Oreochromis niloticus: one gene and its partners. The main gene of each other region encodes a partner of the protein of the gene in region 2 in a complex. Links are inferred from orthologs where the notes say so. Each region holds a gene or a part of one and is shown on either strand. Other genes may lie near its edges. The genes, in order: dpf1, smarcc2 and dpf3.

The links.
Region 1: smarcc2 (region 2) and dpf1 share a complex: the UniProt entries of both Homo sapiens proteins name them as parts of the neuron-specific chromatin remodeling complex. The link is inferred for Oreochromis niloticus from reciprocal best matches to the Homo sapiens genes SMARCC2 and DPF1.
Region 3: smarcc2 (region 2) and dpf3 share a complex: the UniProt entries of both Homo sapiens proteins name them as parts of the BAF complex. The link is inferred for Oreochromis niloticus from reciprocal best matches to the Homo sapiens genes SMARCC2 and DPF3.

What each region holds. Positions count from the first base shown.
Region 1 is NC_031979.2:8,686,220-8,694,112, reverse strand, and holds the start of dpf1 (zinc finger protein neuro-d4), read right to left. Parts: upstream 3,106-7,893; 5' UTR 3,061-3,105; coding exon 2,855-3,060; intron 1-2,854. Other genes in the region: si:ch211-11n16.2 (zinc finger FYVE domain-containing protein 1), read left to right, coding at 4,558-4,677, 5,397-5,678, 5,903-6,125, 6,221-6,438, 6,580-6,686, 7,427-7,535, 7,618-7,715, 7,829-7,893. UniProt on the Homo sapiens protein: May have an important role in developing neurons by participating in regulation of cell survival, possibly as a neurospecific transcription factor. Belongs to the neuron-specific chromatin remodeling complex (nBAF complex).
Region 2 is NC_031970.2:23,534,580-23,542,406, reverse strand, and holds the start of smarcc2 (SWI/SNF complex subunit SMARCC2), read left to right. Parts: upstream 1-4,752; 5' UTR 4,753-4,794; coding exon 4,795-4,905; intron 4,906-5,533; coding exon 5,534-5,653; intron 5,654-5,750; coding exon 5,751-5,836; intron 5,837-5,957; coding exon 5,958-6,039; intron 6,040-6,589; coding exon 6,590-6,682; intron 6,683-6,776; coding exon 6,777-6,846; intron 6,847-6,932; coding exon 6,933-7,002; intron 7,003-7,174; coding exon 7,175-7,250; intron 7,251-7,699; coding exon 7,700-7,827. UniProt on the Homo sapiens protein: Involved in transcriptional activation and repression of select genes by chromatin remodeling (alteration of DNA-nucleosome topology).
Region 3 is NC_031980.2:5,880,103-5,887,533, forward strand, and holds the start of dpf3 (zinc finger protein DPF3), read left to right. Parts: upstream 1-4,396; 5' UTR 4,397-4,484; intron 4,485-4,567; exon of another isoform or gene 4,568-4,961; 5' UTR 4,962-5,013; coding exon 5,014-5,045; intron 5,046-7,431. Other genes in the region: wdr21 (WD repeat domain 21), read right to left, coding at 1-38, 132-246, 430-606, 688-785, 873-965, 1,207-1,286, 1,553-1,602, 1,806-1,949 and 5 more. UniProt on the Homo sapiens protein: Belongs to the neuron-specific chromatin remodeling complex (nBAF complex).

The DNA of each region.
Region 1 (7,893 bases), on a different chromosome or scaffold from region 2:
AACATTATATAATGTGGTGACAGTATACTAAAAGCCCTTTCTTGGCAGTGGATGGCCCAAATATACAGTAGATACATCTTAAGGAACTCTTAGCTGTAAGCTATATAACGGGGTTTCGAGGGATCTGAGAGAATGCGTAGGAATTTCCCATCGATGTAGTTTATTAAAAGAGTGGCCATGCCTTGATTCACAATGTAAAGAAGAGTGGTGGGAGGGGAGAGGGCTCAGATGGTTTGAGGCCGAAAAGAAGGAAAATGGACAACAAAATGAGAGAGAGGGAGAGAGAGAAAGGAGATGGCTGAATAAAAACGAGAGATGGCAAAACTAGTGATGGATTGGGAAAGTGGTGAAGAAGGAGGGAGGCATATAGTGGAAGAGAGGGCAGCAGGGTGATGGGAGGACAGAGAGGAAGTAAAAGGGAGGGAGAAAGAGAGATTATAAACGAGTCTAATCCAGCAGAGAGAGAGTGAGTGATAGACAGGGAGAGGGGCTGGTAGGGAAATGCCCAGCAGATCGGATGGAGCTCAGTGTTCTCCTCCCCTCATTTGCTGTTGCACATGAACCCTCCACCGTACCTCCACGCACGTATACTGGCTGTCACAGTGTCCCACTCACACTCAGCTGGACAGTGGGGACCAGCAGCTTCCCAAAGATTTATATACACTGAATTAATGCCAATTCACCGCAGAGATCCAGCAAGGTTTGGGGACATTCATGGGCACAACAGGCGTCGTCTCCAGGCGCGCAGGGCTCAGCCACCCTATTAGGGCTGACTTTGAACCCAATTTTGCTGGTTGTTTGGCCCATTTTACTGGATGGGTCCCTAATTTGTAAGCCTCTAATAGCAAGTTTGTTTGTAGACATGCTAATTACAAGGGCTTGTTTAAAAGCCCATTGCAGAGCGGTAACTGGAACACAGTTAAACCCACACTGCGTAATGATGGCATTTATGCAGTTGGTGAGATATTAAAGGCCGCTTTGATTGCTGTGGCCTTGTGTAATAAATAAATAAATACATCCAGCTTTGTCCTCTTCTCACGTGCTTTAAGGGAATCCAACATCCCTGCAGGGTTGATACTGGCTAACAATATGGAGGTTTTTGTCTAACTTGAAGCACTTAAAAAGAAATCAGTGTAAGACCACCACTCAAAATTGGGCTGTAGTTCATTAGTCACTCTTTCTAACCACTTACTCTGCTGTCTTTTGTACACTTTTCCACCCATTCTATTCTCCTCCTCGTACCCAAACCCTGTGTTCTCTGTCTGTGTGTCTTGGTGTGTACTCCATGCAAATGAGTCAATTTAATCCCCTGACATGGTGCCACTGAGGGCCTCTGGGAACAATCTGGACACACTTTTTCTTTGCTTGGATGAGCATCCTGTGGAGGAGAGGAGAGGAGCCTCCATCATTTTCCACCCGTCCATTCCCGTCATCGGCATTGCCACATACCTGCCCTTTAGAGCATAGATAAACCAAAAATAAATGATTCATCTCCTGCGTGTTTGCGTTATATCTGTGGTCCCTGCGTTGCGTTGTAGCGCAAGTACTTTGAACCAAAACACCCCCAAAATACCATCACAGTCAATCAGGGCTCGCTGACCAATCAGCACCGTTACAAATCCAGTTCCCTCTCTCGTGTGAGGAGCTTTTCACAGCAGGCACGTACAGGGCAGTCGTTCATGGAAATGCGCGAAATGTCGCCTCTCGGAGAAGCTGACAGACAGACAGACACTATATCCCATCTCCCTGCTCAGGTAAAAAACCTGCACAGCATCCGATGTGCCTCCCCCCCTCCTTCCTTTGGCACATAGGTCTTGTGACTTTTCTTTGTTTCAAACTGCCTGAGCTGGAGCGTTTGTGTGCTCAAACACTCCAAGGTACTCGAGCTATTGTTTTTTTGTTTTTTTGTTTTGGCTGAACGTGTGTACCCGCTGACAGACGCACATCAGCCACCTTTTTGGCCGGGAGCCGAGGCGGGCAGCAGGCGTCTGCATTCCGCTGAAACCAGTCTCAGAACAAAAAACAAAAAAACAAAAAAAAGACATTCCACTCTCCCCCCCGCCCCCCCCCCAAAAAAAAACTGCACAAAGGGGATCATCGCGGAAGAAACTTCACGGGGAAACCCGCCGCTTTAACGTCCGTCAGTGGAGATAAATGTCCGCTGTGATGTAGCTGCACTAAATGTAAAGCGCCGGGCTTTGGATTGGATTCCAGGCTTTATTCTAAGCGCCGAAGATGAAAGCAAGTCTTGGAGGAGCGTTATTTACCTCGCACTATACGTTTCCAAGAGGTCCAGCGGTAAAGGTAACGCTGCAGCCTAAAAACCCGGGAACGGAGCACTTCATTCTGTCTACCTGTTTACCCCCTCTCAGCCCCCCTTCAACAAAATATACACACAGGTACTGTAAAGCCATCTAAACCATCCCCCTTCCTCCCGGACAGCCTTGCCACTCCAGCCCGGCTTTGGCCGTGATCTTGGCTGGCTGCACTGGCAAGGGACATACCGGGTCACCCAAATCTACCTCCAGCATTCCTCCATATCCCTGCACACACGCTGCTGTTGGCTCAGAGAAATGATTATATGAATTGCATCGGAGCGCGCAATAATCCCCCCACCACTCATGCCCAAAAAACCTCCCAGAAACCTCCATCAGCTTTAAATCTAACTTTTCTCCGGGGCTCATTCGCCTCTCCTGACATTATCTCATTCTCCGCTGTATGCACTGCATGCATATAGACGCGTTGGTAATCATGCTGGGGAAATATGTGGGAAATTGAGGGGCTTAAATTGACAGTGACAGCATGCACAATGCCCGAAAAAAGCGCAAACACTCAGGAAACGTGTTGTACTTACGATTTGAGGGGGTTCTGTACCGCTGTGGCCATTTTGATATAGTATGATAGAATGCAACACTGCAGAGCCCGGTATTGTACATGTAATGTAGCAGCTATTTCAATTTCATTCATTCTCTGGGGCTGCGGCTGGAGCGGCCAGCCAATGGGAGGCGGGAGCGCTCTGTGACAGCTTTGGGGAAGTGTAGTTTTTATGCATGTCAACATGAGACGCACCGAGGAGCACAGTACTACAAGTTCCAGGGGGGGTAGCGGTTTAAGTGGACCACGGTCCCGCCTCGGACTTGTTAGGGCAATGCCCCCCCACACCCCCCATCCGAATTTATAGAAAAGAAAGAAGAAGAAAAAATCCACCACAGTTATGTTAAGGTTGGGTTGCAGGACTGTCTGTCAGTCTCTCCTATAAGCATCGTTCCCTTGTCTGGATGTGATGATGACTCTGTCTCTTATAGCTGCTAAACACTAAATTGTGTTTGTTTACAGAGGTATGATTGTGGATATGGGTGCAAATTTGGGTCAGGTATCACCTTAACTGCACTGTAAAGGGAATAACTGGATACTCGAGTAGCAAAAAGCACAAACTAACTGCATACAAAGATGTTTGCCTGTTTTGTTAAGGAAACTGTGACAGGTCTGTATAGTCATTTGTTGAAAATCAAGAGAAGTTGTTTCTGCGCAATCTTAGCGGCTTCATGGCTAGTCTCATGGATGTTAGGTAGCCCTGCAATGAGAAGCTTTAATTATTCATTAATCAGGGGTGATGGGTTGGGAGTAGGCCTATAATTGATTCTTTCAGACATTTGTCTCTCATAGTTGAGCCCGGAGAAAGGCTGGGACCCTCTCTAAATCCTTAACCACGCCATCCTTTATTGCATCCTTCCCGCACTCGCTCGTTTTCTTGCCCATACTACATCTTTTGCTGGATCTGTCCCAGATGGCGATTTTATTTGACACAGGCTAGAGACAAGGGTGTTAAAAGCGACTATGCCAAAGCCTGGGCTGGCATTTTCCATTCCCTAGACATTGGAAGGAAGGGAGGGAGGAAGGGAGGGAGGAAGGAAGGAAGGACTCAGAGCCGTTAGAGCAGCAATGCTGGAATTTCTTTCTCCATGTCATGTTAGCAGCAGTGGCGCCGCTCTGAAGCCAGTGACATGTGATATTTATAGATCTGTGCTAACAAATATTTAATGAACATTAGCAAGCAGCTCTAGCATGGCAGCACCGCTCCGATAAAACACTCTCTGTCAGTTAAGGAAACTTTGATTTTGTGCGTTATGCTTTAGTTGTGAAGAATAATAAATGTGTTATTTTATATTAACGTAGCAAGAAATGGTAGATGAACGTTATTTGTGTTTGGTTTACATCATTAATCTTAAATAAGAAAAAAAATACATATTACAGGCTACAAAAGACCGTGCACATGGGTCCACATGGTTTTATTTTATGCTTTCTCATTCCCTGATGAAGGAAGTTTGTTGAATGGCATGTGAGGTGCTGTATTGCGGCTGACCACACGGTGGTGCTCATGTACAGACCAAAGTCAAACAAGCGCGTCTTACGTCGCTGCCCTGCGTGCCCCCATCTGGCTCCTCCTATAGTCCACGCGCTGTTGTTGTGATTGACCGACAGGTAGGCGTCATGTGAAACTTTCGCTTTGCTGTTTGGTGCCGCTGCCACAAATGCGTTTCAATTAAGTAAACAACGATGTCCGATATACTGATGAAAGAAATGGATAGTTTGTCGATCAGTCCATTGAAGCCAGAGGACCGACCCGACGACGGCGGCCGGAGCTTCCTGCTCGTGGACGAGCAAGAAAACCTGCAGGTAAAGTTAGCTAACATCAGCTGAGCTAACGGCGGCTAACAGTTAGCCGCTAGGCTAGAAAGGGGAAGACTCTTGTTACGGAAGGCCCTTAACTATCTTTTGTGACGAAAAGAAAAAAATGTTGGATGAGCCAAATCTGCTTTCAGAGCTAAATCGAGCTTTTTGTCTTGAAGCTAATGAAGCAAGTTTGTTGAGGCTTTAGCTACTTCACGGCGCTTTGCTAATGCGACGTTAAACAGCGTGTTTGGATGTTCGTCGTGTTTAGCCCCTTGTGTTTTTAGCCTTTGTCTGTATACAGCCCGTGGCTTTAACGTGTGGATGGTGTCTTGATTATAATACTGTGAAAAACATTAAGTTTAAGCTGTAAATAAGAGCAGCACAACAGCAGACAGGGTTGTTATTAGGAAAGTCCCTGGTGAGTCATACAGCACAGCTGACCCACATGGAAGACACCCTCACACTGTGTTACAAAGTACAAGAGATAATGTTTTCTTGTGTACTTAAGATAATCTGTATGAACAACTAGCGTTAAGATTGAAGCGACTAATCCCCCGCAGTTCTTTTTTTTGTTTTGTTGTTGGTTTCTTTGTTTTAAATAAATAATACTGTTCATAAAGAATCAGTAAAAGTAATTTGCTCAATTGTATCACGGTGCCACAAAATAGCTCATCTCTGTAACCAGCGTGTCTCTTGGTGCTCTTTCTCCTCTCATCCTATAGGTCCGGGATGAGGCCGAGTTCGTGGAGCGACTTGGCTGTGCTGACGTAGCGGGCGTCAAGGTCCTCTCCATCTTTGGAAACACCGGTGATGGCAAGTCTCACACGCTCAACCACGTCCTATTTGATGGCGAGACTGTTTTCTACACCTCCAAGTCCCCCAGCTCCTGTACTGTGGGAGTTTGGGCTGCTTACAACCCCACTCTCAGCCTCATTGCGCTGGATACAGAGGGCCTCTTGGGAGCCGCAGCCAATCAGAACCAGAGAATGCGGCTGCTGCTGAAGGTAAATTTAGCGGTTGCTGCTTGGTTTGGGTGGAATAATTGGAGGAGTCTGTGATTTTGTGTTCTGAGTTCTAGTGTTGTCTTCGTTAATTTTTCTACTGAGGTAATGCTTATATCCTAATCATGTAAACAGAACAGTGAAACTCATTTTATTTCTCATTTCCAATGTTTTCATGATAAAAACAAGTCATCTTATTTGTAGATACATTTTTATTTCAATTTCAGGTGCTGGCAGTGTCGGATATAGTGGTGTATCGCACACGGGCAGAGCGTCTTCACAATGACATGTTCCAGTTCCTGAGTAGTGCCTCAGGGGCATACCTGAAGCATTTCACCCCAGAGCTAAGGGCCCTGTCCACCCGCTGTGGTCTGGATGTACCCCTGTCCTCTCTGGGGCCTGCAGTCATCATCTTCCAGGAAACAACACACACGCAACTCCTGGGCCAAGGTACTTCCAAGCACAACTTTAGGATAATTATTTCCCTTGGTTTTAATTTCCCGTGTCACAAATTTAAATGTTATTGTCTTTCTTTCCTGTTGTAGACTCAAAGATGGCCGGCTATGCAGACACACTCCTCCAGAAGCGTTTTCATGACCTGGGTTTGGGGACAGAGGCCTTCAGCTCAGTGCAGTACATAGGCACTCAGACGATCACGCCGCCCACGAACTATAGCGGGCTGCTAGAGGCCATCAAGCAGCAAGTGAAGAACACTCATACCCGGTCCCCCCGCCAGCCTGCAATAGTGTTTCACGCACTAGAAGTAAGTGAAGAAGCACCATATTAGAGGCCTTTAAGAAAAAGCATATGATTGTTTTAATTCTTCCTTTGTGTCTCCTCAGCCTTTTTTTCAGCTCCCATCTAGTTTTCTGTCTTCTAATCCGTTCTGTTTTTGTTTCCCCAGGCTCTGAGTGAACGTTTCTGTGGAGAACTATCAGATGAAAAGATGACACTGTACTCCTTCTTCCCAGATGAATACTTCACCTGCTCAGCTCTCTGTCTCAGCTGCAAGTAAGTCAGTAACACTGTCTACACACAAGAGCTAGAACTGGTCCTTTAAATGTGAACGTATGCTCAACCTAAACCTGAAAGCACAAGGTCAAATTCTTTGAGGCTTGAAATTTTACTTTATGTAATTGTCTTTTTAACTCTTTGCATTGTTTTTGCATTGTTATGAAATGTGTCACTTTTTTGAAAAAAGGAAAGATGAATAATTCCTAAATTATGTAAATATTTAGATGTTTGAGAAGTGTGTGTCATACCTGTATTATTATTATTGTTGATCTGGAAACTGTACTGATCTCCAGCGCTGGGTGTTTGCAGATTACCTAATCACCTTGGATGGACTGTTATTATAACCACACCCCACCTTTCCTGAGCTTTTTCTCATTTAGTTTGATCCAAATAGTTCAAGTTTTCCATCTCAGAACAGCAATCTTTTACTGTCTCTGTGATTGAATCACAGTAGAGAACAATATTCTTTTAAAATGGGAATCCTCTGCTTTTCTCATGGATGTTAACTACCTCCTCAGTGGGATGCATAAGTGCTAATTCTTTTTCCATTTTTGGTGAAGAGAAACCTACTTTGCTTCTTAGCTACTCTTCTTCCTTCCTCTTTCCTAAAACCTGAGAGCAGCGTGTGTGTGAAAAATCATAATGAGTGCACTGTAACCATAGGTTTTAAGCATTCTTACAAATCCCCCCTCTCCTTCACCAACTCTAATATCTGTCATGTTGGTGTGACTCTCTAGCATTCGCTGTAAAAATGGAATGAACCACCTGAGAGACAGAGTTCCCCACATGGCAGATGGACTCTGCCAGTATGCACACCAGTACAACAACAAGGTCCTCATCTGTAAGGTAAGAACAGAATTTCTCAGCTAGTATTGGTGAACCTGTATGTTGTTGTTGTTTACATCTGTTACATCTGTTGCATGTCCAGAGGTGCTATGAAGCTGGCAGAGAGGTGATTGTTGTGCCCAAAACATCAGCTTCGTCTGATAATCCCTGGTTTGGACTGGCCAAGTACGCCTGGTCAGGGTATGTAAACTCACATATACACACTTAGGCGGACGCTCACACTCCTCTTTGCCTTTCAGCCAATAATCTCATTTCCACTGTCTGCTGCCTTGTTCCTCTCGTCCCTCTTTCAGATATGTGTTGGAGTGTGCTAGCTGTGGGGTAATCTACCGCAGCAGACAGTACTGGATGGGAAACC
Region 2 (7,827 bases):
ATATATATTTATTGTATATTTAAAAATATACAACCTTAATTCCAAAACAATTGGTACTCTCCTTTCTCAAGGCACAAAATAGGGAGAGGAGAATCTTTAAAACAAGCAAACTGGTTTCCTAATGTTTACTGGTATTTGCATCAATAATAATAATCTGTCTACACCTGTGTTTAAAATACAGCTTTGCAACTTTGCAAGTCACCTGTAAAACTAACTACACCTATGAGCACTATTTCATTTTCTCTGTTTAGCAAATCTGCCCAGTGAAAAATATTAGCTCATTTTGAATTTGACAGTAGTAAGATATCTCAGTTGGGGAGGCGATGAAAAAGGCTGGAAAAGTAGGTGGTAATTAAAAAAGGGTAATTGGATTGGATTAATAAAACTTATTACTTCATCAGTTACATGATTGGGTATAAAAAGAACATTTTGTAGTAGCACAGTTTCTCAGAAGTAAAAATAGGCAAATGTTCATCAATCTGCAACAAAAACCCAAAACGGTATTTACAAACTGCTTAATAATTTTAGGACAATGGTCCTAAACATAAAAGTTTGAATATCTCTTCAATATCATCTACATTGCATAATGTCAAAAAATTCAGAGAATCTGGAGAAATCTCTGTGTGCAATCTCTGTGAAATCACTGGCCCTGTGGCAGCACTGCATTAAAAACAAGCAGAGAAATCACTGCATGAGCTGAGGAACACTTCCAGAAATCCTTTTCTGTGAACACAGTTTGCCGTGCCATACACAAACGCAGATTAAAGCTTCAACATGATCCTCAAACACCACCATCATCTCTGAGATCTGGACTGAGACAGAGTGGAGAACTGGTCTGTGTACAGACAACCCTCTATGGAAAACATGGAGAACAGGTCTTGTCTAAAGAGGAGAGGGACCATTCTGCATCTTTGATGGTACGGCGGTGCATCATTGTCTATTGAATTGGCAGCTTGCACAACTGGAATGGCACCAACAATGCTGAAACATATTTACAGGTTTTAGAACAACATATGCTCCCACCAGGATGGGAAGGCCTATAATATTTCAGCAAGACAACGCTAAACTGCATCTATTAGAACAGCATAAAATCTCTGTGTTTCTATTGTGAATAAATTATGGGTTTATGAGATTCGCAAATCATCCTGCAAATGTGCAAAATTACATTTAACTAAGTTTACATTTCTGGCAATGTGCAAATTGGTCAGGATAATAAGCACTGTAAAGGTGGAATTGCAATATGTTGTATGTGTGCAAAACCATTGATTTTACTGTAAATTACATTTATTTGTGGACATTTTTAGCTGCGTGTTTCTCTTTGTAGAATTTTAGTGGCAGTAAATCCCAAAAACAAAACATACACAACTAGAATAAGGTATTCCAAATTTAGTGAGTTGGTTAAGCAGGATCATGTCAGCCACAGGCATCCATAGCCACACAATGTTGCCAAATGGGCACATATTTGATATTCTGATCTATTCTGTAAAAAAAAAAAAAGCCATATCTTTAACAGGCAGCATTTCTTTACTTAGACATGTTTCTTTTTACAATATTCTGATTTTCCTAAAGTGTTGCTTTGACCTGAATGCTAACTTTAACATCCAAACAGGCTTAGAATGCTAACATGTTGATGTTTTGAAGGTTTTTCCATCCATGTTAGCATGCTAACATTTTTTGTACTAAGCACAAAATTCAACTATTGATCAAAAATAATATGAATAAGAAAAATGTGTTGTGGTTTGTACATGGTTGCTTTTGCACTGCCTGCACACATTCAGTGAAGACAGAGGAGCCTGAATATAAAATTTAATTGCATCAAACAATGCCTTGTGAATACCCTTTTTTTTCAGGTTTATAATTAAAAAGCTTGATGCCTAAAATTCTTCATGAGTGAGCTGAACGTACTAGTGCTGCAAATAGTTATTGAAATGTCAAAGATTTGTCATAATTGCTGCTACAGCAACCTGTTTGAAGAGAGCTTTCCCATTATCAGACTTGTTTCTTCACCTGCTGCTGCTTCTGGCCCTTTCCGAAGCCACCCAGTGAAAGTGAAACATTGAAACATGAAAGGGAGTCTCACCTCCCTGGAATAAAAACAAGGAGATGGATCTTTAATTAAAGGTGAGAGCTAATACTATTCAGAACAAGGAGGTTCTTGCTGAATGAGGAGCAGACAGGAGGTAAGGGGAATGCTGCACAGGGAGGGGGGGGGAGTTGTTGGGCATGTATCTCGGCAGTGTCTCCCTCCCTCTGAGTCCCAGCACTCCCTCCTTGCAGATTCCAGCGTTAAGTTAATTGGACAGGGAGAGGAGAGGGCTGAGGAGGGAAGCGTTCAGCCCCATTAGCAATCCCCCTGTGGAAGGCTGAGCCGAGAGGATCACAGACTCACAAATAGGAGGATTAAAATAATCAATAGGCTTCACTCTCTCTCCTTCAGCACAGGCAGCCCTGTGTACAACGCTCACACACACAAACACGCACCATTACAAAGATATGCACACACATGCACGCACGCACACGCTCCTGAGCAAATACAAACACACCAAGAGTCTGAGGAATACTAGTTCAAGGAGCACTACTCTGCCCAGTGGTGTCTGTGGACTTTCACAAATTAGTCTGGGTCAGGCAACATGCACACACATACACACACACACACACACACACACACACACACACACACCTATTCTCTGTTAATGAAGGTTAATTCAGCCTCTGACTAAACGAGGGCCAGTTTAAAGGTCAGGAACATGAAAACAGTCTGACATATCTATATTTTGCTCCGTTATTTCTGAACTTTAATGGCTGCTGAATTTGCTCTCACATAAAAGACTTTTGTATACATATATATATATATATACATATACATACTGAATATGCTGTATAATTAAAAGTCTTGTATCCATACAACATTAAACTTGTGACATGTGTGCAATTTTTAGTTCTTTTACTGCAGCAATTTAACTGAACACATATTTACATATGTAGTTTTGATTTAAAACAAGTACTTTATAAGAAGAAATAAAAGGTGACCAGAGGAAAATATCAAAGTGTTCAACATAATAGGGAATAGCAGAAAAAAATATCTACTCTGGCACTTAGCTGAACCAAATCTGGAATCTAATTTGAACTTTCAAATTCTGATAATGCTCACCACCTTTTCCCCACATGACCTTTTTAAATGAAGCACTGCACAGTTGAGACTCCTCATGCGGTACATACAAAATACTGCTCAGTTTTATCACACAGTAAGTTTATATAAGATTGTCCATTTGAGTAGTTTATGGAGGATTGAAAGAAAAAACTTAAAGTCCTACTAAACACACAAAGGCAAAAAAAAAGGACAACAAACAGACAACGTTTAATCATTTAATTTTTATGAATAGATAATTGAAAATCCTTTGAGAGGTCTTAACCCCCAAGTTAAGATAAAACCTCCAAACACATTTCCTGTAGTTATCGCCAGGCTGAGGAGGGGAATTGATTTAATTTGTCCACAATCACATAACAATACATGATATGCATCATTTCTTTAGGGACTATTAAAGTATTCTGATTCTGATGACACTGAAAACTAGAGGTTAAATAGAGACTGGACACCTGCTGGGACACTCTAAGTCTCTCAGTGTAAGTGCTTCCATGATTTAAGTTAAAACCATTGACTTAGTGCATAAAACACATATCCGAATCATGTCAATTACCATCAAATAGCAGGATTTACTACTTTTTGTCGCACTGGATCAGAAACTGTCGTTTTCCATTTTTATTTTTCACAGTTCAATAAAAGATAAAAAAACAAACACTACTTGCCTGCCTTCTTTCTTGAGTGTCTCGTGAGCACTCTTACTGACATCCTGTTGCAGGAGGTCATTTAATTGCTAAGGAGGTCAATCGCTGCCATTTCATTTTTTTCCCCCACACACATTTACAGGTAAGTGCTTTATTTTAGACTCACCATGTAGCCCATTCAGGGCACTGGCATAATCAGCCTCCTTATCACTTCTAGAGTGGATGCATATGGTGAATTTTACAAACAGGCACAGGCATCAAACTAACTATTAATACTGGTTATTAAATAATATTTTTATTAATACTCTGCAAGCTCCTGTACATTTTACACACGCCTGAGGATTTGTTCATTAGTGTGTTCCGCATTTGTTGAGCTTCTACAGATTTTACTCACACAGAAAAAAACATAGACTGCCGTCAGTATAACTTAAAGCTCTGCTGAAGTTTGCTTTTGATGACCTAACGATCCACCTGACTCTATTATGTAAGACTCTCTTCAAATACTGACAGCCGAATTGAGAAATTATCCGATACCGGACATGATTTTTTAAAAACTCATCTTATTAATTGGTCTCAATTTAATTGCTTACTGGTTGAGGAAAGTATGATAAAATCAAGAATAGGGTAAAAATGATTACTTTAATTTTTAAACATAGAAAGTAGGGAAGTTAACGAGCTCTCGCTGTCAGTTTTAGTCTACTTTTTTCTCCATTTTACTAAATTACTCTTTTTTTTTTCAAATAAAACAGCAGTTAGTTACCAGCAAACCAGATCAGCATTAAACCACTGATACATCTATCTATCTATCTATCTATCTATCTATCTGTGCGTGTGTTCGCTGAGAGGTTAGCATAAACATTTTTATAATCGTATTGTTGGAGGACAAAAACATTATCTACACCGCTGCGCCCCCTGTTGTACTTTGGTTGTCACTACAGTCCAAGGCTGCAGTTTCGCGCTGTGGTCGCTGGGCGGCAGGCAACTTCGACTAGTTGTCTGCAGGCAAAGATGGCGGTGCGGAAGAAAGACGGCGGCCCGAATGTAAAATATTTCGAAGCGTCTGATACCGTTTCTCAGTTTGATAATGTCCGCGTCTGGCTGGGAAAGAATTACAAAAAGGTACCGACCGCATGTTTTGCTATCCTACAGCGAGACCTTCCATTTTTCACGTTGAAATATGGCCACTTACCTATTGGGCAGAGGCAGTGACAAAGAGAGGAGGGAGGGTGCTGCTGAGCGTCCAGCTGTTTGATTCACTCGAGCCGGGATACAAAAGGATGCTGAGCCAACAGCTGCATCAGATGCAGCCACTAACGGCAGCTTCTCTGAGCACTGTTGTAGTTAAACCGATCTAAAACAAGCACACAGTCTGACCTCAGAGGATGGATTTTTGTTGAAGGGTGACTTTAGCCGGCCAGCCCGCTAGCTAGCTAGTAAGCTAATGGGCTAACGGTGAGGCAGCTCGGATCCAGATGTTGGCTCTGTGGCGCGCCGCGCTGACTGAAGCAATGTCCGGTGTTGAATAACACTGAGGACTGTGCTGGTGTTTAAACACAATAAACAAATAAAAAAAAATCATTTTTTACTAAACAGTGATAAAAATGAAAGGTTAGCGATATTTGTGACTCCATCCCCTCCCCATTTACCAATCCGTGTCGCAGTTTTCACTGAAATTTCCTTCCTTTGAGGTATCTGATAAAGGCATCCAGCAGCACAGTTGAGTTTATATTCATGTGTTTGCGCACAGTACATCCAGGCCGAGCCCCCCACCAACAAGTCTCTGTCCAGCCTGGTGGTCCAGCTGCTCCAGTTCCAGGAGGAGGTGTTCGGTCGACATGTCAGTAACCCTCCGCTTACCAAGCTGCCGGTACGTGTCTTAAGCATCTGTATATCTGTTACATGCAAAAATAGATACCTCATTTAAACCGCTGTGATTCTGAATGTGTTGAGTTGTATCCCTGCAGATGAAATGCTTCTTGGACTTTAAGTCAGGAGGGGCTCTCTGCCACATCCTGGCTGCAGCCTACAAGTTCAAAAGTGACCAAGGATGGTAAGACTTTCTTTCTAGCTGAGTTTAGGCGTCTGGGCTAGTGGCTGTTAAGTTACGGTGCTCAGTTGGATATTGGCTATGTTGCCGTTTCGTGTGTAACTCCAGTCTAAACTCCTGGTAGGCGCAGGTTTGACTTCCAGAATCCGTCGAGGATGGACCGAAATGTGGAGATGTTCATGACGATTGAGAAGTCCTTAGTGCAGGTGAGATTTGCAGAAGTGCTTTTATGGTTGTCAATGGACACTAGAAAATTTCAGGCCATATTTTGGTTCATTTATCTAACAGGAGTAAATTTTTGATGGTTTTTCCTACTGCAGGCATTAAATTTAAATGATAGCAAAGAGAACACCGTGTCCTGTGGTTACGCTAAATTTCTCAAGAGTCTGGGAATCACGCTGCCTGAGCATTACACACAGAAGTACTGAAAGACATCCAGTCACATGACCACAGAAATCCTACTTAATCAGTCCTGCAGTTTTCCAAGATCATTTAGATTTCTTCATCTGCTGTGGCATGCTGATTTCTACTTTTAATCAAGTTCATAGGACAAGTACTGGGCAATTAATATTCCAAAGAGGGCACATGAGAAACTGGGACTGTTATGGAAGACTGCATGAATAAGCTTATAGCAAAACTAATATTGGGCAGAACTGAGTTTCGATTATTGTATTGTTTTGTGAGTCTTCTTGATTATTTGAATCAATGCTCGCAAATGTAGTTATGTAAGTGATGTATCTGCTCCAATTCTTCCAGAACAACTGTCTGACTAGGCCCGTCATCTACCTGAGTCCTGACATAGAGCCAAAGCTGCTGGGGAAACTGAAAGACATCATCAAAAGACATCAGGTGTGTTTTAAAGGAGCCTTTCAGGCAGATCATTTACTACAGACAGATTTAATTTACATTCAAATGGTTCTACTCATGTTTTCTTGTATTGCAGGGCTCAGTAACCGAAGACAAGGCCTCCAGCTCCCACGTTGTTGTGCCTATTCCTGCCAGTCTGGAGGAAGGTGAGGTTTTGTCTCGGTAGGCATTGTTACAAGTTTTACTGCACGAGTCAGATTTGCGCTAACATCGTCTGATCTTCTTGGTCCAGAGGAGTGGGTTCGTCCTGTGATGAAGAGAGACAAGCAAGTGCTGCTTCACTGGGGATACTTTCCTGACAGGTTTGTTCTGAGCACCGTGCAGCTCACTTTTATCTACTTCTCTTATTTTCTCAATACATCTTTGGTTTTTAGAAGGTTAAGCTGACATTACCCCTCCTGCTGTGGTGTTACATGGCCAAACGTGCTTTTCCCACCTAATGCGAGTTTCGACCTCATTCCTTTCACTGTTTAGTTATGATACCTGGATCGCAGCCAGTGAAATTGAGGCTGCGGTAGAAGATCCTCCCTCCCCAGAAAAGCCCAGGAAGGTATTTGTTGTTGCTTTTTTCTGTCTGTGTCAGTCTGTATGAATTTAAACAGCAGATTTTCTAATACTCCCTGAGTTAAAACAAGTATTTGACCCCTTTATTAATGCTACATGACACTTGCAGTATTTAAATTCAAGGATCTTTTTTTTTATTTGTCCACTGTGCAGCACTTAAATGTTACAGATACATCTGTATGTTTTTGGAAACCTTTTTGATTTCAGCTTGAATTTAAATTTGTTCTTGTTCTTTATAAAGTCTTTAATAACAGAGGTTAATATCATGAGTTTCAGTCTTTTATTATAACTTTTATTATAACTTTATTATAACTCAGTTTAGCTCTTCCTCCTTCCACCTCCTCCTCCACCATCCTGGTGGTTGACATGATTGCTGAAAATATTTCACTTCTGGGCAGATAATAATTGGTTTATTTATTAATTATTTATTTACAGGTCCATGCAAAGTGGATTTTAGATCTGGACCAGTATAACGAGTGGATGAACGAGGAGGACTATGAGGTTGGAGAGGGCTGTCCTAAGAGGAAGAGGATCTCTGCCAAGACCCTGACAGATGAGGTGAC
Region 3 (7,431 bases), on a different chromosome or scaffold from region 2:
CTTAAGGCTCCATAACCTTGTGTAGCAATCCTGACCCACTGTGGAAAGAACGGTAAACAGTGAAATTGCATGGAAAAAAGGTTTATACCAGTGAGAGTATTGAGTGTTGAGAGTGTTTTATCCTCTCCTACCTGCTAGCAAAAGCCCTTCACACTCATTGACATGGATGGGAAGGTAGGCATGCTCATTATGATGACCTTTGTACTCCTGCACTGGCTTTGTGACTCGCACATCCCACAGCTTAATCTGCAAAGAAATTAGAAAACACACAAAGGCTCAACAGAACTATCCTTGAATTATTACCTAATTTCAAATCATTCCTTCCTGATATTTTCTACCACAGTTTGTCAGTATGGCCTGATGGTACTGTGTTTACCAAGTCTTTCCGCATGAGGCTAAGAAGAAAAAGAGTCAAGTCAAGAACCTGACCTGGCCCAGCATGTCAGCAGCCAGCAGGTAGTTCTCATCCTGCAGGACGCGTACAGAGGTGATGGCTGATTCTTGATGGAAGCGACTGGCCTTCCAGCTGTGATCTCTGCGGCCGCGCTGTCGGAGGTCGATGCTGAAGATCTCCCCCGATCTGCAACCGTTAAACAGGACAGGAACCTGTGGACGTAAAGATGTACTTTCTTTTGCTTGGTGTTCTTACAGAGTGCTTCAAAAACTTTAAAGTTACAAATGCCTCACCCTAAGGGCAAACTGCTGAGCCAGGACATCACTGCCGACGCTGTACGTCTGTGTTCTGCCTGTCTCTGCATCCTTCACAATCACTCTACGAGACAGGCCTGCCAACACACACATAAACATGATTATTTTAGATGTGTAATTTTCTCCTTTCTATAATGACAAAAATGTTTAGCTGCGGTACTAACCAGTGCTGAACGTCTTGTCAAACTGGGGGTTGAGGCACCAAGCACAAGACCAGGCTGAGGATATCTTAAAGCTGCACAGCATTCCAGGCTGATCTGAAGAAGGAGTACAAGAAGTAAGAAGAGAAGGGTGTTGAGGGTAATAGGGAGGTACACAACAACAGCAAAACTGCTTTCAAAACATATTTCAAAATAAAAGTCTTCTAGAATAATAATTCCAAGACTGAAGAAGCTTATTTGAAAAGTATGTTTTACCATACTGCTACCTGGGTCCTTCAGAAATGAACTACAAAAAGGCAATGTGACTGCTGCATATTGTGCAAGAACCCTGACAAACCTGGGTTGGAGTTGCTGAAGAGGGAAGCAGGAAGTAAACTCACGCAGCCAGGGGTGTCTGCTACTCCCACCAGACACAGTCTGATAGTTACTTCAGTCAAGGACATACAAGTTTCACCAAAACAGTGAAGAGATGTTGACACAGGTGTGCACTTTATAGAGCTAAAATGTTACCGTTTTGATGATAGTCACCAAGTGTAGTCTTTTGAAAACAACAGCAAAATGAATCCACAAATAATGCAAATGAAAAGGACAACTCATAAGTGATCTTTGTTGCCAGGTTAAGCCCTTCATTTGAAGGTTAAGTGAACTAGAGTTAGCGCTCTAATTAAACTGTGGAAGGATACAACACATGAGAATCGGGGTAATTTACTGAAGCCCAGCAGATGGAATTGACCTGAAACATGTTAGCCAGATCAGAGTGATTAATATTATTTAAACAGACCAAATGTTTGTAGAAACATCATAAAAACAGGCTCCAAGATAAATGTGAATTAATTCATTTTTATTTCCTGCAGTGTACTAAATAGAAACTAAAAAAATGCAAACATATTCTTTGTATTCAGAGAAGGTCTTTTATCTCCAAAGAAATGCTCCTACCTTCCGATTAGTGAAGTAGAGGTTATCGCACATTTCCACAGACAGAGACCCCTTGCTGCTGCTGCTGAAGTTCATGATGCCATACTTGCAGCCGCCATGAGAGACATCGTTGACTGTGAACACTCGCTCACACGCCGAATCCCCCTGAAAAAGAAACAGCAACAAAGAAACAAAGTGTATGCACACCATCAACTACAGATAGGAGCCATTTTTAAAGGTAACCTACTGTGTTCATTTCCAGCAATTAAGAAAAAAAAAGGACTCTAACGTCAACGTTTAACATTCAAAACAATCTTTTTTGTTGTTTTAAAAAAAAAAAATCATACACAGGGCCTTGGTGGACCCAAAATCATCCTCTGGATGAAGCAAACTGCTCTAACTCCCTCTCCCTCCCGTGAAACCAACTCTAACTAACATTTATTCCATTGAAACATGTGTTTTGCACTGTGTTTGTGTGTGTGTGTGAGTGTTCTCACCACTATGAGTCTGAAGTTGTCGGTGTTCGAGATGCTGTTGTCTGTGCTCTGGATCTCTAGTTTGTGGCGTCTCATTCCACTGACCTTCACCTCATGGACGAGTCTGGAGACCAAAAGTAACCATAGTAACAGACTAGCACTGTCTGCAGACAATCTACTAACCCAGGATAATTGATACACTTTCCTCTTAGCTTTCTGACAGTGTCTCTGTAGCAATTTATGTATTTATTTAGACAGTTTGCCTGTAGGATAAAAAGAACTAGAAACTTCCTCATATGCATTTCATTACTTTTTGTTTTTCCATTTATTCATATCATTCCCAGTGATGCAGAGTATTTTCTTTGACTGCATTTATGCATGTTTCTCCATCTTTTTATTACCATTTAGAATAACTTGTCTAAACAGATTAGCATCATTATTAGTGGCCAGCAAAGCTCAGAAGAAAAGTCACTCTACACATGCAGAACTGATTAGCGTTAAAGTTTCTCTTTGTTTCCCATAATCCGTTACAGCTGTGGCTAGGACATGGGAAAAACAGTGTTATGTTGAGTTTTGCGTGCCTGCAGCGCTGTGACACAGTACCTGCAATAGGAGTGCTCAGGTAATACGCCTAGATGTCGTTTCTGAAGTAGCAGCGAAGTGTTTAGTCCTCTTCTTGGTGCTTTCTGTAAACAACAAGGAAAATGTGTGTACATGTTTACAACCGAGGTTTCTTTCTTTACGACTTCTTAAACATTTATGTTCCGGATTGAAGAAGAGCATGTGCTTATGCTAAGATCAACTGTGATCTGTGAAGTGTTTTATTCCTACACAGATCACAGTTGTGCTCTAATGCTGTACTGTGATGATGTCATTACAGCTGCTGCCATAGCCATAATCCTTTAGTACACTGCACAAGGTTTATGGTAAGCTTTCATCTAGAGGGCATAACTTAAGCATATCAGATGACTGTGTCTGTCTACAGCAACAGGAAAAAGCTTAATGGAATCTTAAAAGAATAAATATGATAAAAATGCTAAAAGACAAAGAAGATTAAAAAGATTTGCCCACCACCCTCGACGACAGACTTACTTTTCTCGTTTTTTCATCTTCTGCCAACATCTTGTTCCTCTCCTTCTCTCTTTCTTTCTGTTGTAGCTGCTCTCTGGTTAGTGGGTTACAGTTGTTGTGCCCGGGCAATAGCCGGAAGTAACGGTTTTTCTCTGGGTCAAAATAGAAACCTGGCAGCTCTGGCAGGAGAAAAGGAGGTAGAAATTAGGCTTGTGCATCTTTCATTTGATTTTCCAAGTGTATCCTCTTTTTTTCAAGTGCTCCTGGACAAGACACTGGATGCAAAACTACTGTTTAAGTACATATGTATTTAATTTAAGTGTTGTGCTCTCGTTTGCCTTTAATAATAAGGGCTGGTGGCTCCAGAACGCAAACATGCACTTTCAATACTGTATGTTACTGACCTGGTGCAGCACTGCTGGCTTTAGAAGAAGACGAGGAAGACAAGGAAGAAGAGGAATGTGAGACAGGCTGGTTAGCATGCTGCCTCTGAGATGGTCTGTGTGAGGGCCCTGCATCATCACGTTCATACCTTTGAACAGGAAACACACACACACAACAATGATACTGACATACTGATCACTGTCATTACAAACGCTGTATTTTAGTATGGCACATCCTCCATACTTTAACGTGATATAAGTGTCATTTAACGTAGCTACCACTGCTGTCGGTTTCCTCGGTGCCATCCACGGCGCTGACCAGCACCTTGTCGCGTGTGCGGTCGCTGTCCTTCTCGCCAGTTCCACTTCCTCATTTCTTATGGTTCGGCGTAGAAGTAAAATGGTCCTGACTGCGTGTTGCTTTTCATTCACTTCTCTGTGTTTGGCAGTCCGGGTGTTTATAGGCAGATTACCATCAACACCGTTGGGCTAACGTTAGCTGCACATCTTTCTGCACACGTTTTGACACGTTTGCTGGACATTCACCATCGATTAAAGTAAACGACGTATTTATAGGTCGATAAACAAACGTTGAGTTGACACTGTACTGGGTTTATTTTCTTAATAACATGGCACTAACATGAAAGTAATTAAACCTCACTAGCTAGCTAACTCCCGTGTAGTAACGTCCAACCATGCCATCCCCGCCTCCACACGTCTTTCATTGGTCCATTGAGAACAATAATATCTGACGTTTTAGACAGTCATTGGTAAGTTTCTCCGCGAGCTCTCGGGATAACCGTGTAGAAAATTACTTTTATTTCACTGGATTCTCGGAAATAGCTGGATATTGTGATAAGTGACTGCTCGACATATATACGCCCTTAACACGATATATTTTAAAGCGGCAATGACTTTAAATTACAAAAAACAAAATTAATGTTTGATATGTAGTTGGATTTATTTTCCAGCCATTAAAACCTCAAAAAACATCAAACAAAAACATTAGAAGTGAGACTGTAATAGTATCCCATGCTACATAGCATTCATGTTGTGGTTTTCACTGTTAAGGCTAAATCAAGTTAATTTCATGGTGTTATTACAATCTGGGGTCTGGGGCATTAATTTTGACAGATTTATCTGAAGCCACGCCTAAAGTCCTGATGCTGGTGCTGTATTGGCAGGGAGCACAGCGCACAGGACCGCATTGGCTGTTTTTTTTTTTTTTTTTTTCTTTTTTTCATTAGGGTCCCAAACTACACCGAGATTTGGAATATTACGTTATAGTCCTACAGGAAGATGGCGACTGTCATTCATAATCCTTTGAAATCGTAAGTACATTTCTTTTTTGTTATTATTATTTTAATTACTGCATCGTGTAAGAGAAATGTAACGAGCTATTATGACTGTATGGGGATTGCACGCGCTTTTAAATAAGTCTAACATTTAATACCTTTAGCATACACTTGGGCAGTCTCCGTATCTTCAGGTACCGTTGCCTAGTTGCTGTATTGTGTAATACGAATATAAAAGCATGCACTTATGCACGGTGTACGGACGGAAAACATCACGTCCGCGCGCAAATGACTACATTCAGTTTCATTTATGCATAAAGTTGCGGACATTCTACTTTTAAAAATAAATAGAATAAAAACAAATCCGTCTGTCAGAAGTTTGCCTACGGTCCTTATGGGGGATATTTGCGTAGTTAATATAATGCAAGCACTGACACAAAGCTCCCATTGCGCGACTCGTGCTTGTCTGAGCCTGACAAGCACACGCACAGCAGGTTATTACATTAACTTTAATATGTGTGCGTGGAGGAATAAACTGCTTAAAGCCGATCTTGGCGGTTTGAAAATGCATTTGTGGAAAAATGTGTATATGAGCATGGGTTTAAAAAAAAGGTTAATGGGATGGGATCCTAAGTAGAGTAAAGATTTACGGGATAAAACCAACTTTCATTATATCACAGAATGCATGTTCCCCCTCCTGCTGCTGGCTGACGGCAGATGTTTACCACTGGCCATGTGGAATGCGCAGTGTTTGACAGTTTCTTGTGCAAGAGGCAAGTGTTTTAATAATTTGAACGGAATGCTGCTGCGGGTCCCTTAAAATAGATTCTGAAATGATGCTCTTATTTTGTAGAGCTCTTTTTTGTTGTTGTTGACAACCAGAAACATGTCATAAATGGTTACTGTGTGGAGGGGGGTGGACTTAATGCTGCTGTCTTTTACCGAAACAGATTAGGCTGTAGGGAATGAAGGTATATGTGTTTGCTTTTGTGTGCATGTAGAGCAGCAGATTAAAGAGCGTCCCAGTATTTCAGTGTTTCGCTGGGTCCATCTGTTAACAGAGAGGTACACGTAAAAAAAAAAAAAAAGACAGGCTGATGCTGGGGCAGAGGGAGGGAGGGAGTCCCATCTGCCCTTTGCATGCAGCAGGGCTTTCTCAGATAGACACCCCCCACCAATCTAATATCTGCAAAAAAGGGAAAGCAATATGCATATGGACACAGGACCCCACCTACCACAACAGACATACTAGTATAAGCTCAGAGCAAAATAATGAGAGGCAACTGTAATGAAAAGTGTATGTGAAGTGTAATGTGTTGGAATGTAAGACCCAGTATCAAGTAACATGTGAGTTACAACCTTGGGAAGTAAAGTCGCGGTCTACTTTTTAGACAGAGTCTACTGTGTTTGAAACAATAGGCCTTACTTCTGAGTCGTACTCAGGATGTGGCACGTTAATAATGCGCGCTCAGTGAGGACGTGGTAATAATCTAGCCTGCTCTCTTGCCAGTGCCCAGCTCTGACAGATGAGTTATAACCATAAGGAACATGGCAGTAAATATGTCTGGCTTTGTGGACTCGCTCACTCATGTTTAGCAATGCATATTTTCCTCGACCGACTCAAATTCTCATTTTCAAAAAGACTTTTGGTAATTGAATCCTGGGAGGCCGGGTGGGATAATGAGAAGCCGACATGAGAAGTATTCAAATAAGCGCCGCGATTCATATGCAGAGATGTGGATATCGCGCCTGTTACCTTCTTTCATTAGAGTTGGATTTGTAAATAAAAACCAAAGAGCTCAGGTGGGATGTGGTTTGGTTGTGTTTGCACAAGGATTGAGAGAACTTGAACTGAGATTAGAGGAAATGTAAGGGAGATGTAGGGTTGTCAGTGTGTTTGGGGTCGTGTGTTTTTATTGTGGGTTTTTTTTTTTTGCATGTATGCGTGGAAGTGCGCCCCTCCCCCAGTTCTTGTGAGAGGGAGCATGAGTGAGTGATGGAGGAGGGTGGAGGGGTGTCTGTCTGGCTGCATTTAGTCCTGCTGCATACATTTATACTACACTCTGAGCGCTGGGGTGAACCCTGGCCTTTGTCTATCCGAGCTCAGGGAATGGGAATGGAATGGTTTCCAGGCACAGACAATTAAATGGACAGGAACATTTTTTTTTTTTAAATGGAAACCTCCAAGCAGTGATCAATGCTTTTTCTTTTTTTTTCATGTTCTGCACATGGAAACATTTTTCTCTCTCTATGGGTATATGTGAGACTTTGGAGAGCTGAGAGATAAGCATGTGGTATCCTTTACAATATAAAATAGCATATTTTATGTTGGACAAACATTTTATTCTCCACATTTCCTCCAGTGATGCTCATGCTGAGTTGAAATGACTTATGGGTCAAGCCATGTCTACACCTTGCACTC